Linked DNA regions of Oryctolagus cuniculus. The protein of the gene in region 1 binds, or shares a complex with, the protein of each later gene. Links are inferred from orthologs where the notes say so. Each region holds a gene or a part of one and is shown in the gene's direction. Other genes may lie near its edges.

What was found.
Region 2: the proteins of ABCC9 (region 1) and KCNJ8 are in contact, whole or in part, in a cryo-EM structure (PDB 7MIT), measured with the Rattus norvegicus proteins. The link is inferred for Oryctolagus cuniculus from reciprocal best matches to the Homo sapiens genes ABCC9 and KCNJ8. Residues at the interface, in XP_038963045.1 of Rattus norvegicus: Phe5, Ile10, Tyr13, Asn14, Ile15, Val19, Asn22, Cys24, Phe25, Ala28, Leu29, Val32, Val35, Phe36, Phe39, Phe42, Pro43, Ile44, Phe46, Ile47, Gly48, Trp49, Gly50, Ser51, Lys55, Gln57, Ile58, Asn129, Phe130, Lys132; in NP_058795.3 of Rattus norvegicus: Met1, Leu2, Lys5, Ile7, Ile8, Pro9, Glu11, Tyr12, Val13, Leu14, Ala15, Arg16, Ile17, Ala19, Glu20, Asn21, Leu22, Leu45, Ala46, His47, Lys48, Asn49, Gly54, Arg55, Phe56, Leu57, Asp59, Ile60, Thr62, Thr63.

Annotation. Positions count from the first base shown.
Region 1 is NC_091440.1:119,192,966-119,200,741, reverse strand, and holds part of ABCC9 (ATP-binding cassette sub-family C member 9), read left to right. Parts: intron 1-2,843; coding exon 2,844-3,038; intron 3,039-5,494; coding exon 5,495-5,647; intron 5,648-6,107; coding exon 6,108-6,263; intron 6,264-6,993; exon of another isoform or gene 6,994-7,325; intron 7,326-7,776. UniProt on the Homo sapiens protein: Subunit of ATP-sensitive potassium channels (KATP). Can form cardiac and smooth muscle-type KATP channels with KCNJ11. KCNJ11 forms the channel pore while ABCC9 is required for activation and regulation.
Region 2 is NC_091440.1:119,053,498-119,061,963, reverse strand, and holds the start of KCNJ8 (ATP-sensitive inward rectifier potassium channel 8), read left to right. Parts: upstream 1-4,142; coding exon 4,143-4,516; intron 4,517-8,314; coding exon 8,315-8,466. UniProt on the Homo sapiens protein: Inward rectifier potassium channels are characterized by a greater tendency to allow potassium to flow into the cell rather than out of it.

The DNA of each region.
Region 1 (7,776 bases):
AAATAAAATAAAATAAAACTTTTAAGTCAAAGTTTTAAACAAAAGAATTATTTCCTTATCTGAAGGACAGAGAGAGGCAGAGAGAGAGTGAGAGTGAGAGCTTTTTACCCCTTGGTTCACTCTCCAAATGGCTACAGTGACCAGGGCTTGATCAGGCCAAAGTCAGGAGCCTGGAACTCCGTTTGGGTCACCTACATAGATGGCAGAGGCTCAAGAATGATCTTCCACTACTTTCCCAGTAGTGCCTTGATCAGAAGTAGAGCATTTGGAACTTGAACCAGTGCTCATATAGGATGCTGGCGGCTCAGGCAACTTGCTTAATTCTCTGAGGCACAATGCCGGCCATGATACTGACTTTTAAAAATTAAAATTCTTAATTACTGACAAAAATTTGGATAGTATAGTTTAAAATTGGGAGTCTAAATTTTAAGTGCAAGGGTGGCATCTACCTACTCTATGTGTCATCCCATTTACCTTCTTTAATTTTTTGAAGATTTATTTGAGAGAGAAAGAGAGAGAGAGAGAAAGAGAGATCTTCCTTCCACTGGTTCACTCCCAAATGATTGCAGTGGCCAGAGCTGGGCTAATCCAAAGTCCGGAGCCAATAGCTTCCTTGGGATCTCCCACGTAGGTGCAGAGGCCTAAGGACTTGGGCCATCTTCCGCTGCTTTCCCAGGCCATTAGTGGGGAACTGGATCAGAAATGGAGCCATGGGAACTTGAAGCGGCGCCCAAATGGGATGCTGGCACCACAGGCAGGGACTTAACCTACTATGCTATGGTGCCGGCCCCATCCTGTTTACTTTCTAAAATTGGTTTCCTCTGGTACTTTCTTTGAATGTTAATTATTACTTTGAAAGCTTCAAAGATAAAAATGTGGAAATTTTCAGTTTGTCTTACTATTATTTTGGAATGTCACAGTATTAGATGTGTTTTGTATTGCAGTTATCTTCAAATCCCAGAAGACTTAAAAAATTTTAGTATTCACTACTACCCTGGAGAGAAAGTAGGGTATGGTGAATAAGTTACAAGTTTTTGGCTATTGTAAGTCAAGATCAACAAAGCATTTATGGTAAATGATGACACTGACTTTTGTTTTGTGGTAGACGTGAGTGTTATGAAATTAATATTGCCGGAAATGAGTACTATGAATGAACCTGAGTCATTTCTCTGGTTTCACCTCTGGGAAAAACATTGCATCATATTTTAAAAACTTCTCTGCTGAAGTAAAAATTTGCAGTATGGTGTAGGCATAGCTTTAATTTTCTTAGTGCTTTTAACAACATAGATCAGGGCTGGCGCCGCAGCTCACTAGGCTAATCCTCTGCCTGCGGCGCCGGCACACCGGGTTCTAGTCCCGGTCGGGGTGCCGGATTCTGTGCCGGTTGTCCCTCTTCCAGGCCAGCTCTCTGCTGTGGCCAGGGAGTGCAGTGGAGGATGGCCCAAGTGCTTGGGCCCTGCACCCCATGGGAGACCAGGAGAAGCACCTGGCTCCTGCCATCGGATCAGCGCGGTGTGCCGGCCGCAGCGCGCTGGCCGCGGCGGCCATTGGAGGGTGAACCAACGGCAAAAGGAAGACCTTTCTGTCTGTCTGTCTCTCTCTCTCACTGTCCACTCTGCCTCTCAAAAAAAAAAAAAAAAAAAAAAGAACAACAACAACAACATAGATCAGGTTGAATTTGGTACAGTAATGTCTTTTGTCAGTAAACTTTAGAAAATAACAGTCCTCTAACAGAAAATACATTATGAAGCACAACTGAGGTCCATCCCATTGAATTGGTTTATTTGTTGCAAAGAAAAATTTTATCCACCTCGTCCCCAAATTTTAATGATGGATATTATCCAGGTTTTGAGATCTGTACAGTTAACAGCTGTAAAGATGTGAAGCCATGAGTTAATTGAAGCATTTTAGGCATCCTTTATTTTGCCTTTCTTTTAGGAATACCTAGCAAACACAAAGTTACCGTAGTTTTTGGAAAGTGTTGACTACCATTCACAGAGATGGAAAAACTGGTAGGAAAAATAATTTGAGGTTGGGAAGATTCAGTTTGTTTAGGTTGTAATAGTCTGGTAGATAAACCTCTGGTGATATACATACTTCAGAAAATTTGGCTGGTGTGTCTATAACTTTAACTTCTACTGTTGTTCCCTCATTAAAGATTAACAGATGGTATTATTTAATGTCTATGAGAGACACAAATTTTCCAAGCCAAAAGAAATTAAAACTGTACATAGTTTTAAGTCTTTGGCATCATCTTTTGACAATTAAAAATAATAGAATCTCAGAAATTCTGACCTGTTTTTATTCTGTTGACTTCATTGAAATGCATTTAATACCAACTCTTAGTTACAATGAAAGAATATATAGAATTGTGTATTCTATACTGAAAAGGACTCATTAAAATTTCTCTAAACTTTAAGTTGTCATTTTATTTATGTATGTATTTACTTGAAAGGGGAAGAGGGAGGGAGAGAGGGAGAGTTATTGATTGATTATTCATCCACTAGTTGACTCCCCAAATGTCCACAACAGTTGGGCTGTGCCAGTCTGAAGTTGGGAGACAAGAAATCCTGCTGGGTCTCCCATAGAAGGTAGCAGAAATGAGTGTATTTGAGCTGTTAGTGCACAGCCAGCATATATCAGCTAGCTAGGTTAAAAGTGGGGCAGGGATGCACACCCAGGCACTCTGATATGAATTGTGGGAATCCTCACCCTAGACCCAAACACTTGCCTCTCTACGCTTTCAAAGTATTTTCAGGACTCTTGTAAGGAATTTGCATAGTTGCTGATATTAGTTGCTGCCATAGAAGATTTTACTTTGGTTTATCTGGTTTCACTTTCAGAAAAAAGCAGCAGATCATCCAAACCGGACTCCATCTATATGGCTTGCCATGTACAGAGCTTTTGGACGGCCGATTCTGCTTAGCAGCACATTTCGGTATCTGGCTGACTTACTGGGATTTGCCGGGCCGCTCTGTATTTCTGGAATAGTTCAGCGTGTAAATGAAACCCAAAATGGAACAAATAACACAACCGGAGTAAGTTTGTGATACTTGTCAAAGGAAGCATGTTACTGGCAGATTTTGGTGTAATGGTCACTTTCCATTAATACGTTCCTGTGAGTAGCTTAAGCAGTCTTACTGACAGTTTGAATGCTTATGTTAGGACAAAAATAATCATTTTTCTTGTATAGAAAGTCATGTGTCTATGTATTCACTGAAGGTAGCTGACCAACAAAATTATTTTGGGGATTCAATGCCCATAAATATTTGGTGAACCTCTGTATGCCAGAAATTATGGACAGAAATCTTGCATTCTTTGGATCTTCATAGCAATCTTTTAAAGAATTTTCAGCATGAGGAATGGTTGAGGCATATATTTAGAGGCCCATGACCAATGATATTAAAATATGATTTATAATATTGTACATTTCTTTTTTCATATAATAAAATTCATTAATCTCTTTGCTAATGAATAAAGCAAATAGTGATATATTTTATTATGCATTATATTGTTATTTGGGAGATATATGGTATATATTTTCACCTAAAAAGTTATGAGTTTAATGCTTTTTAAAAAAGGATTTTTTTTTTGTTTATTTGAAAGGCAGACTTGCAGAGAAATGGAGGCAGAGAGAGAGAGAGAGGTCTTCCATGTGCTGGTTCATTGCCCTAATGGCTACAATGGCCAGAGCTGGGCTCATCTGAAGCCAGGCGCCTAGAGCTTCTTTGGGGTCTCCCATGTGGGTGCAGGGACTCAAGGACTTGGGCCATCTTTTATAGATTTTCCAGGCCATAGCAAGGAGCTGCATTGGAAGTAGAGCAGCCAGGACTTGAAGCAGGTGCTGGCATTGCAGGAGGTGGCTTTACCTGCTAAGCCATAGCGCCACCCAAGTTATATGTTTAGATTACATTTATAACAATAAATGTATAGTATATAATTCAGTCAAATTTGTTATGAATATGTAACCTTTCATTTTCCATTCTTAAGAAGGTCTGGATCATGAACATTCTAGTTTAAAATAATTTATTTCCCTAGTTTCGTAGATACTAACTCTCGTTCAGATTGATTAACTCTCACTTTATATTCCTTCAATCTGATTGTCATGCTCATCTTTCCATCTGTTTAAATTTTGTGCATTATCATAGCCTATGTTAAATGCTGCCTCGGCAGCAAAGCCATTTTCTGATTATCCTACTTGAAATTTGCTTCTCCTCAGTATTTGCCTAACACTTGATTAACTTTAGGTGGATACTTTCTACATCTGCCGTCTTCATAATAAACCATGTTACTCACGGATCAGTTCATCTTTTTGGGTTGTGAGTTCTTTGAACAGAATGATTGAACTATTCACATTTGTACCTACAATTCTCAGCCTGGATTCTTGCACATATTCGTGTTTAATTACTATTGAAGTGAACCACATATTTTCACTGCTGAATGCACTTGCCATTTTTGGCCTTGCTACCCTAATTAGATACATATCTAAATTCTGCAGAGTACTGCCACCATCCTTGTCTCTTACACATATTGACCATGTGTTTTTCTGAGACACGGTAGAACTTGTGGCTTTATATGTATCTCCATGACACAAGTGTGAGGGACTAGAGGTAGAGGCTGAACTTTTGATGTAGAAAATGAGGAGTATCCGAATGGCCATAATGTGCTTAGTTGATTGTTACCTTTGCTTGCTTCTAACAAACATGTTTCCATATAAAACCATCATTAGAAACAAAGATGAAGGGATTTTACATATCTATGATTAATTTAGTCACATTCCTACTAAAATGAACTTTCCTAAGTTGTGTTTGGTTACTGGAAGAGTCACATGGGTAAAGTCAGTAATCTGATATTTTATACTTTGTAACTTACTTCACTAATATAAATTATGATACGGAAGAACTGGGAAAAGTCAACTTGTAGAATTATTCTGAAGTAGTAAGGTTGTGGAACTTGTATTTTATTTTCATTGATTTTACTGACAGCTCTCAGTTTTGTGGTTCCTAGTTCTACATTACAGTCTAAACTAAATTCTACTTTTTATTTTTCCTGCTTCTCATTTAGCTTAGATAGAATATGAAGCATTTTCCAAAAGTTCATGGAAAATGTGTTATAAAAATCTCTGCATAGATGTCAGTGTTTTTCAGCCAGATGGATTTCTTTTCTAAATTTCAGTTTCCCCTGAACTTCTCAATTATCTTTTCTTTGCAGGACAATGTATGCAAATTTTTAAAAATATGCATTGACCCCTTTTCTACAAAAGACATTCTAGCCATCTTAAGTCATTGGGGATTTTATTCATCACTACTTTTTTGTATTTGTGTACATTCTAGGGGAAAGCCAAAATTGCCTGTTGTGGCTCATTCTACTTACATTATGATGACTTTGAGTATTTATATGTGAATACCATATAGCTTTATTTAATGTAGACTATAGACTTGGTATACGAAAAGACTTGCTTAAATTTGTCTCTTTTTTTTTCTTTTGGGACAAGATTTCAGAAATTCTCTCATCCAAGGAATTTCTCGAAAATGCTTATGTTCTTGCAGTTCTTCTCTTCTTGGCTCTTATTCTGCAAAGGACGTTTTTGCAGGCTTCCTACTACGTAACCATAGAGACTGGCATCAACCTCCGCGGAGCTCTGTTGGTAGGTGCAAGCTTTGATTGGTCTTTGTGTCTCAAAAAGTCCATATCTGATCCAGGGAAAGGAACAGTAGTAGCTTCACTTTTTCACTTTTGCTTTTTCATTCCACTTGGGCTTTGATATTACAACAGCAACATTTGCAGGATGGAAGAAATACAGAGCTAATTAGAGTATTAACTTAAAAATAACATAACATGTTAAGAAAAAAATATTTAATTCTTGTATTTACTCATCCCTGATTCTGTTTGTTATTGAGCTTATGTTTAAAGTTGAATATATATTTTGATGATATTTCTAGAAAAAGGTATCTAATTGAGGACTAACAGTACACTAAAAAAGTAGACTTTGAAGGTGGGTATACAGGACTTTGTTATTTTTCAAAAAGTTTAAAACGTCTTCGATGAAAATAATTATAGTGCTGATGTTAAGTTTTAAAGTGTGTCTTGTTTTTTTTTTTTTGCAGGCCATGATATACAATAAAATACTCAGGCTCTCTACATCTAACTTATCCATGGGTGAGATGACCCTGGGACAGATCAACAATTTGGTTGCCATTGAAACCAATCAACTCATGTGGTTCTTGTTCCTGTGCCCCAATCTGTGGGCCATGCCTGTTCAGGTAGATCATGATAACTAAGATTCTCATTTGCAGAGGGGAAAAAAAAAAAAAATGAAGAGCAAGACAATTAGCTCAGTACTGGCATACTCTTTGAATGTGCTAATGTTATATTTGTTTTACAGACAGGTAAGCTGAGACTCATCAATACATTAAGAAAGTACAGTTAGGAATTTTTGCTCTACTGTTCCATTGCACAGTACTTAATCTCTGAAAGCATTATTTCTGTAATTATAAAATTGGAATAATGATAGTATCTGCTTTGTAGAGTTGTGGAAATTGTCAAGATTTAATGCCAGTATGTGTAAAGCATTTGCAACAATGTCTAGCATTCTGTGGTGATTGCTCCTAGTTGGTATTACTGTGTAAATTCTTCCAAGTCACAGAGCCAAGATTTGGCCCCTTTCATTTTGACAGACTCTCTTACAGCTTTGCTAAGATGGAGCGATGGATTTAATCTACTCCATAGCATTAATAGCTAGTATGTTATAAAATATCAGGCTTTTTAGGTGTTAGGAACACTGACAAACCAGAGGACTATTTAGATTTCTTTTTTGTAAAACAGCATTTTAGTAAAGACATGTGGTTAATCCCCTACCTCCAACTGGGTAAAAATGGCAAAAGAAATGGATTCTGGTTTTTTTTTTTTTTTTTTTTTTTTTGCTGTCGTCTTAAATATTTTTCGCCATCTGAAGCTTTGCATTCTGTAGATGGAGCTTAAACTGTAGACGTATTTTTTTTTAAAAGATTTTTATTTATTTATTTGAGAAGTAGAGTTACAGACGGTGAGAGGGAGAGACAAGAGAAAGGTCTTTGATCCGCAGGTTCACTCCCCAAATGGCCACAATGGCTGGAGCTGCACTGATCTGAAGCCAGGAGCCAGGAGCTTCCTCTGGGTCTCCCACGTGGGCGCAGGGGTCCAAGGACTTGGGTCATCCTCCACTGCTTTCCCAGGTCACAGCAGAGAGCTGAATCGGAAGAAGAGCAGCCGGGACTAGAACCGGTGCCTATATGGGATGCCGGCGCCGCAGGCGGAGGATCAACCCACTGTGCCATGCACTGGCCCTGTAGACATATTTTTGACAGAATCTGTCACCTATGTACCTGGGTACTACATTTATTAACAGTGTATAAAATAATAAAAGAGATATGCTAGTTTTTTAACTTTTCGTCTCATTTTTAAAGTGGAAGGAGGAGCCAAGTAGTGTAGTGCTTGGCACAAAAGTAAAATGAAGATATGTTTTGTTTTATCAAAATGTACTTATGGTAGTCCATTAAATAGCTGCCTGTGTTGTATAAATAAGTGCACTGAGAATCCCACAATGCACTGAATGACTGCTTTTGTGAGTGAATTCAGGGGAGACTTTGTTTAGATGAGAATTCCTAGTGTACCTAATTCACTTGCTAGCAAGCCTGTGTCCTTGCCACCAGAAAGCAGTTATGTTCTCATGGCATAGAGTATGTGCTTAAACTGTGTAGCCACAATTCACGAACTGAGCTTTTGAGCCATGATAAA
Region 2 (8,466 bases), about 140 kb from region 1:
CAAATATGACGTGTGGATATCTCAAAAGGTGGCTTAACCTGCTGTGCCACAACACTTGCCCTTGTACAATTTTTATAGCACACATTCTTCACCTTTTTAAAATGGCCACTATTTATTTTTAGACACCCAATTGTCAAAAATTTACTAATTTCTTAAAATTTGACCTTTATAGGTGCTCCTATTTTGAATTAATCAATTTATATTTTAATTTCAAAACAAGTCAAATTTTAAGCTGAAAATGCGTATTTGGAAGGATATACCATATTTGAAGGATACACTTCACAATGCTTGCAGAAATGGGGATTAAAAGATGGGTTTAGTTTCATGCAAAAGCATTTTAAAGCCATGCATTTGTGGGGCCTTCAAAAAGTCCACTGTAAATGTGAGTCATGAAAATGCCCATGGATTTTAATTCCCTTTTCCATGAACTTGTTGAAGTATCCTCCTATCTCGCACTGGGAAAAAAATGGGGTACACAATATGTATTATAGCAAAAGAACAGCATTGTCATGATTCAGCCAAGATTTATTGCAACTATGCTCATAAATTTGCAGCAGTTTGCTTCTTCTCATTCCATCTTTCTTACTATTTCTCTGTCACCACCATAAATATCAGTTGCCTCTGACTCCTCTCCCTCCCAATATTGACTCTACATAATATTCTTTTTACATAGATTTGTATGTTGCCTGCTGACATAACCTGTTAGCCAAGGCTTCATTCTTTGTGTAATAGTTTCAGTGCACTCTTCCGCCAGCCATAGAATTTTGGAGCTCAAGGGACTGGAAAGGCATCCCTGAAAGCCACTATATCATATCCTCTGCTTCTTGATAAATCCTCCTAAAACAAGCTCTTATTTTTTATTGTCTGATCAAATTTTTTTAATTTATTTATTTGAAAAGCACAGTGACAGAGAAAGATCTTCCATCCACTGGTCAACTCTCAAATGTCTGCAACAGCCAGAGCTGGGCCAACTGCAAGCCCCGAGCCCTACCAAGCCTGGACTTCCATCCAGGTGTATCACGTCAGTGGGTCAGACCCAGGCAGCTGAGCTATGTCCCAGCTCTCTGCTATGTCCCATTAGCAGGCAGCTGCTTTGCAAGCCAAGACTCAAATCCAAGACTCGAACCCAGGCACTCTGCTATGCAACGTGGATGTCCCAAAGCAGGGTCTTAACTGCTGAACCAAATGCTTGCCCCCTCTTTCAATCTTTCCACACCTCACCATTACTGTTGAAAGCAGTCCGGGTCCCTTGGCAAACCTTTTAAGCTATCTTATTCTATCTACATTTTGTTTCCGGATCCCAACATGCTTTCCCAAACTTGTTTTCCATTCATTGATTGAAAAATATTTTTTGAGCACCTCTGTACAGTGCTCCATACCCTCGAGCAGTTCTTCGCATGGGGATAGGCTTAGGTAGGACAGGAATATGAATAAGTCATTATGTTTTAAGAACGGTGGTGACAGAGCCTGCTTAGCAGAGTCCTGGATTCCAGTGCCCAATCCCACATGGCTTCAGCAATGCTGATTAAATTAATCATCTTTCTAACATACAGCCCACTCTTACCATACTCCTGGACTGTGCTCATGCCATTTCCTCTCTGTGGAATGTTTTTCCTCTGATTTTCTCTATACTCCAAATATATCTAATCAGATGTCCAATAATCCACAGTATTTCTTTAGTCTGAGTCTTAAATGTCTCTAATTTGAACTCTCATTTTGTTGTATTTACTTTCAATTTCTAATCATTCTTGCGTGCATTAAATTATCAATGTCTTTTATAATTAACTTTCTTTAGCATCAGCAATAATCATTTACATATTTATATATTTCTAGATATGCAAACCTAAAAAATTAACTTTACAAAATAGGAGTCTGAGTTAAAATAATGGATAATAAATTGTACAGCAAACTTAATTGTAAAATAAAAGTGCAAGGGATCAACTTCACAAACAGATATTCACACACTACTGCAAAAACTAACGAGAGTACATAAAAGCAACCAGTAACAGACCAGGTTCCCTAGGCATGAAGGGGTTAAGCACATCTCTCCACAAGGGGGAAAAACTATCCATCTGCCTTCATTAAATACTAATTTTAGGATTTCTGGTCATTACACACAGTGTTTATGCTCCATACACTTTTGGCCTTGAATCTTGGAAAATGCATGATATTTTCAAGAATTCAAGTATCCATTAACTCAAGTGCCAAAAGCACGACGCAGTTCGACCTGTAGGAGAAAGCCCATTCATTTGTCTCCGCTGGCTCGTTTGCAACAAGCTATGGGAAGTTAACCGCCCTATGCTCATTCCTGCGCGCCACTGGCCTGTCTTATCCATCAGACACTCCAGACAAGAGCGCGAAGCCACAGGCTGTCAGGGGGCAGCCCATTGCTGCAGCCCGCAGGGCCGGGTCAGTGCTCCAGTGTTGACAGCGGTCCTGATTGGGGTAACATTTCTTCATTGGACGAGAACACCAGTCCTTTTCTGGTTTTTTTTTTTTTTTTTTTTTTTGGTCGTGGTAGTTGTGTGTGTTAATTCCCTGAGAAGTGGCTGAAGCTTCAGGACACCAACCACCGGCACCGTTCCTTTTCGACGGAAATTTAACACCAGTTTCACTGTGTGTGCTGTACACAGCTTGAACGCCTCGCAAGAATATCTTTGCATCTCTCTCTTACTCTCGCTTAATTCAGCCTGAAATAGCCCAGCTATCTGCCCAGGTTACAAAATAAAGTGAAAATAAAAATACAGATCGCCTTACGTCAGCTATCTTGGACTGCACAGCTCTCCCCCTCGCGCAGAGCCTTTTAAAGCCTGCGGTGTCCCGCGAGCGCAGGGGGTCGCGGCTACTGGGAACCCAGCGCGCACGGCGGGCCCCGCCCTCCCCGGGCCGCCCCTCCCCCGGCCCGGGCCCTCCCGCCCCCACCCCTGGCGCACATCAGAGCCCTCGCGGGGAAGGCTGATTTTGAGGAGCATCCCTCCCAAGCTCCGTGCCCCCAAAACCTCGGCTGCAGCCAGCAGGGGCCCAGGGCGCAGCGCTGAGCCGGGGGAGGGGAAAGGGGGGTCCACACCCACCCACCCACCCACCCCTTCCTCCAGCCCTCCCCGCGCGCGGACTCCCCGTGCACCTTTAGTTTTATCGCTCTGCAGCTTGGGACCAGCGGCGCCCGGATCCGTGCCTCCGGCGCTGGGGCCCCGGCTTCCCGCGCGGCGCCGGCATGGGAGCGCCGTGGAGCCGCCCGCGGTGCGCCCGCGGGAGCCGCGAGGGGCAGCGGCCGCGCGCGGGGCTCGCAGTCTGTAAGTCTCGGCGCGCCTCCGGGGCACGGGAGGGGGAGGCTGCCCGCGTCCCCGCCAAAGGCTGAACAGGCCAAGCACCGCGGCGCTGCCTTGACCCCGCCACAGCCCGCAGCCCACGGCGCTGCGGGTTTGCGCGCAGATCGGGTTTGCCCCGTTCGTTGCAAAGAAGTTTGGAGTGTGGCGGGACTCCACAGGCAACTTTTTCGTGCGTTTTTGGAAACGCAGCTCGCCCTTCCTTCCCCTTGCAAACTATTCTTCGTTATGTTCGAGTTGCGTAGCGCACTGAATGTGATTGTGTGAGGTTGCTTTTAACGAGTTCCTAAGACGCACGAGGCCACGCGGCCTCTGCTGTTGTAAAAACAGGGGAAGAATTTTCTCCCTCTTTACTTGTACTATTGCTCCATCTGTCAATGCTCCAGTACCCAGCTGGTCTCGGTTTTCCTCCTCCGCGCCGCGCGCAGGTGCCTCTGAACTCACGGGCAGATGCGGTTAATCGGTTAATCGCAAAGAATTATTTTAGCGCTTGCTGCCTCCAGGCTGCCTCCTGCTTTATTGAACGGAGCCTGTGCCCCCCAAGTGTGTTCGGAATGACGACATCCAAACAATGGTCCCGATTCCAATCAGATTAACTTTGCTGCGAGCCCAGAACCTAACCAAGCGCAGCCAGTCGCGGTTTTTTTGTTTGTTTTGGCTTGTCCCGGAGTAGGACTACAGAGGTGAGCAACTGACGTTCGGGGGGGTTCTTTCTTCCAGTGTTTAATCCACATTTCCCTCTGCAGGAGGACGGGTCCCCAGGGCAGCAGAGGCTGGGCAGAGGCAGGTGGATAGGCTGGCTATGCTGACGGGACCATGTTGGCCCGAAAGAGCATCATCCCGGAGGAATATGTGCTGGCGCGCATCGCCGCGGAAAACCTGCGCAAGCCGCGCATCCGCGACCGCCTGCCCAAAGCGCGCTTCATCGCCAAGAGCGGGGCCTGCAACCTGGCGCACAAGAACATTCGCGAGCAGGGGCGCTTCCTGCAGGATATCTTCACCACCCTGGTGGACCTCAAGTGGCGCCACACGCTGGTCATCTTCACCATGTCCTTCCTCTGCAGCTGGCTGCTCTTCGCCATCATGTGGTGGCTGGTGGCCTTTGCCCACGGCGACATCTACGCCTACATGGAAAAGGGCGGCATGGAGAAGAGTGCTTTGGAGTCCACAGTGTGTGTCACCAACGTCAGGTGGGAGCGCGCGGGGGGCGAGGCTGGGGTTGAAAGTGAGGCAGCAGCAAAATGTTAGGATGCCCTTCCTCTTAGCATCCTGTTATTTTGCTGGAAAAAAAAAAGATCAAGGGTTTCTTTTAGATCCTTCAGAAACAAAAAAGCAACATGACAGGGAGAAAAGCCACAGCCAACACATTGCAAATCTTTCTAAGTGTAGCTTTGTGGATGAAGAGTCCCTGAAAGTGTGACACTTCCATTCTTGGCGCTGGCCCGAGTGCTACACCTCGTATTCAACAACTGTAGGTTAATGAATTCCACAGCACCCCTTACTCCAAGAAGGCACTCATTCAGTTTCAGTTTGAAGAAGCTGTGCATTGTTCCAGTGTCAGTGGTAATAATCTGGTTATCAAAAAAAAAAAATCACTGTGTGACTGTTGGTACTATTTTTCCATGAATTCTCTCATGCATAAGTGTGTTCAAAAATTAGAAAATGGAGAAGGCAATGTGGGGGGGTGTCCTGGATTTTAAAAATCTACTAAAAATTTAATAACTGAAATAAATATAAGCTCTTCTTTATCAAGATCATCTTAACAGAGCTGATTGAATTTTAAAACCCAGTGAAGGCAAAGTTAAGATTCAGAGTAAGATCGTATTAATTTTTAATGAAACTTAGTCCCAAATTTTCATGGAAGAGGTTATCTGGAAATAAATTAATGTTGTGGTCTTCTTTCAAAGTTGTAAGAGAACAAGACAGTCTTCTATTACCTAACTTTGGCTTCTTCCTTGATCATTAAGTATTTCAAGAAGTGCTAAGGTACATTTTATTTTAGTGATTGCCCTCTCAATTCTCGCATGGCCTAAGCGGATTTAGTTGGACTGTTTGTTTTGTTGAAAGACAGAGATAATTTATATCAATTGCAAAAAAAAAAAAGTTCTCTTAGAAGCAAAAAGATAGAAATAATACAGGAAAAATTTCCAGGGCATATTCTGAATAAATTTCCCAATTCAAAGCATGCACAAAGCAAAGGACCTTGAACAGGACTGCACTGCCAGGAAACTGTAAAGAATGAGACTTTTCATGACCCTGAAGTCCTAGGAGACCTGCTTTGCGCTGCTTTGCACTGCAAGAAGCAAAGCAGAGTGAGCTTGTGCACTGTTTCCTTTGCTCTGTGGCTGCAGTGCCTGCCCTGGAGGGAGGGAAGCAGTAGTCGTATTCACAGAGCCCAACCACAGACTCCAGCTGAGATTTTGAGGACAGAAAATGATATTGAATGGACCCATTACTTTTACCACCAGTAGATATTATTTTCTTTTCTCAAATTTGTCAACAATTTTGGCCTCAAAGTTAAATGTAGGCGAAAAATACAGGTGATCATTAGCATACTAGTTTTAGAACAAAGCACTATTTCAGAAGTATTTGGAGGTCAGTTGTCGTGGTCTATAATACTGTGTTTTTCTTTTGAAAACCTATACAGATAATGTAAATCATTCTCATAGCAAAAAATATTTTAATAAATACATAGCAGATATTGATAAAAAAGGTGCATGCAATAATAAAAACTTTGAAAATAAATGACAGATTTTATTCACAGGACAAATATATCACCTTTTTCCCAGGAAAAAGAAATTAGACAATTTTAAATATAGAGATTATGAAAAGTGATAGCCTTTCAATGTTTTTTAGACGAATTTCAGAGTGTACTGGTTATTAAAAGCTGTTTACTGCTACTTCCTATTTTTCAAACAAGATGCATTCTGAAGCACATTCTGTTTCCTGTAGCATTTCAGTTGGTGTCAACAGACGTCATGTCAAAAATACAATGGGAAAAAGTTGATTTTCTCAGCAGAATAATTTTAACATTTTAAATTGCACTTTTTACTCAATTGTTTGACTTTCTAAGGTTTCTTAATTATTTTAGTGTTATGGTACTATTTAAACTTTAATCTCTACATAGCTTAATCAGAACAAACCAGCCATAACAATTTTTTTTTCCTGAAAGTATAGACACAGAGAAATCTTTATTCACTCCCAAAGGGATCTCAAAGGATGATTAATAGTAATTCTTACTCTTTGCCTTTCCTTTATTTTCATAAGTTCAATGTCCAACCACAGTATCAAAATTGAAAGCAATGTTTTTCAATGGATATTCATCCGTGTTTCCTAACAAGTTTGGCCATTCTTATTTTATAATGACTCACTTTCTCCTCTGTATAGATGCCGTTCTAACATGAGTCAGAAAATAGAGCAACGCATTTCCTCCTTCTCATTATTCAACCTAGCTTTCTCTGTCACAGAACCAAGGAGCAGCTACTTAATTTTCGTTCTTGAGATTGCTTTGCATAAAATGCTGGATCTTGCAGGTTATGTAAGGTTTAGAATTGAATTTTTTCCATAAAATAAATGATATGCAAAATATGGCAGGTGAATGGTCTCTCGAAGCATTAGAACAAGACATCTGGGGCTGTTCTTCAGTAAAGCATGAATGTGTTATTGGAGACTGTATCGTATCCATGCCCCTCATCTGTGGGTCATTCCTGTTCTTTACCATGGTTCTGGATCATATCATTTATCTTATTGTGTTTAGCTGGTGCAAAAAAAAGCAATTATTCTATTTTTTTCAATGAATTCTTTTTGCCACACAAGAGGAAAAAGTTAACTTTTGCACTCCACTTAACAGCTAGCAAAGAGTCATCGGTATATACATGCCTACCCCTCTTGGGTTCCTGTTGAATTGCACTCTGTATGCCAAGGACTCCAAAGTTTTCCCACCTTGCTCACTTATTGTGCCTGGCTAATGCATGGTTTATATTTACAAAATGAGAGAAGTTTGAAATGGGGGTTAATTGCAACAATAAGGCTCATATTGTTTCTATGAAGAAGCCACAGGAATACTGGATATGCGGTTAAATGAGTAAATTCATAACCACCAAACATGTTGACTCTCAACCAGCAGCTTCAGAATGATTTAAGAGCTTTTCAAGGGTCTTTACAAAGTCCAACCTGAGCCTTGTGAATCAACACCTATTCACTAGGATATGGAGATACACAGTTTGCAGACACATCCCAAGAAAATCCCGACACTTCCTGGCTCATTCACTTTGCCCCTTTCAGAGCAGTAGGCAGGAATGGAAAGGACTCAAGCTCGTCATCATTACAAGATCTTTACCCAGTTATTTACTGAGCTTTGATTCAAATTCTTCCTATAATAGCTTCAATATTCTCTACATCACTTAGAGAACAAAATGAGATATCTCTAAAAACCTATTATTTTGAAATAGTAAGGCATACTTTTACATTTAAAATCCTATTTTTCAGAACTGATGTGTTTTGCACCCATCCTCACTGTATTTTATACTGTATAAGGTACACAAGTGTTAGCTATTGAATAGGAATTTAAAGGTTATGAATGCCTTCTATAAGATTCACGTCTCTTAAACACAGAAATGCCAGCAATACTAAGTACCTGGTACCAAGTTTTATCAAGTAAACTATGCCTTGTGAAAATAGAGTGTTTGACAAAGTAAAATATGCCTACAAACATATAGGTATGTTTATTAGGTTAAGCTTTTACAGAACTAGACATATCTCTGTAGACCTGGAAAGCATGGATAGACTTGCCCCCAAGAAGGCTGGAGGTCGAGACAGACATCTGGAGAGAGGCCATGTTTGTGCTGAGAATTAGGAATCTGTCAAGTAAGGTAGTCTTCCTAAAACATTAGGTAGCCTTTAGAGGAAGAAAACCAGTTTGTCTCAGGATGTGAGCCATTACTGAAGATGTGACCTGATGGCATTGTGTCTGGTGTCCTCCCATGCAGGTCTTTCACCTCGGCTTTCCTGTTCTCCATTGAAGTTCAAGTGACTATTGGCTTCGGAGGGAGAATGATGACCGAGGAGTGCCCTCTGGCCATCACAGTGCTAATTCTGCAGAACATCGTGGGTTTGATCATCAACGCAGTCATGCTGGGCT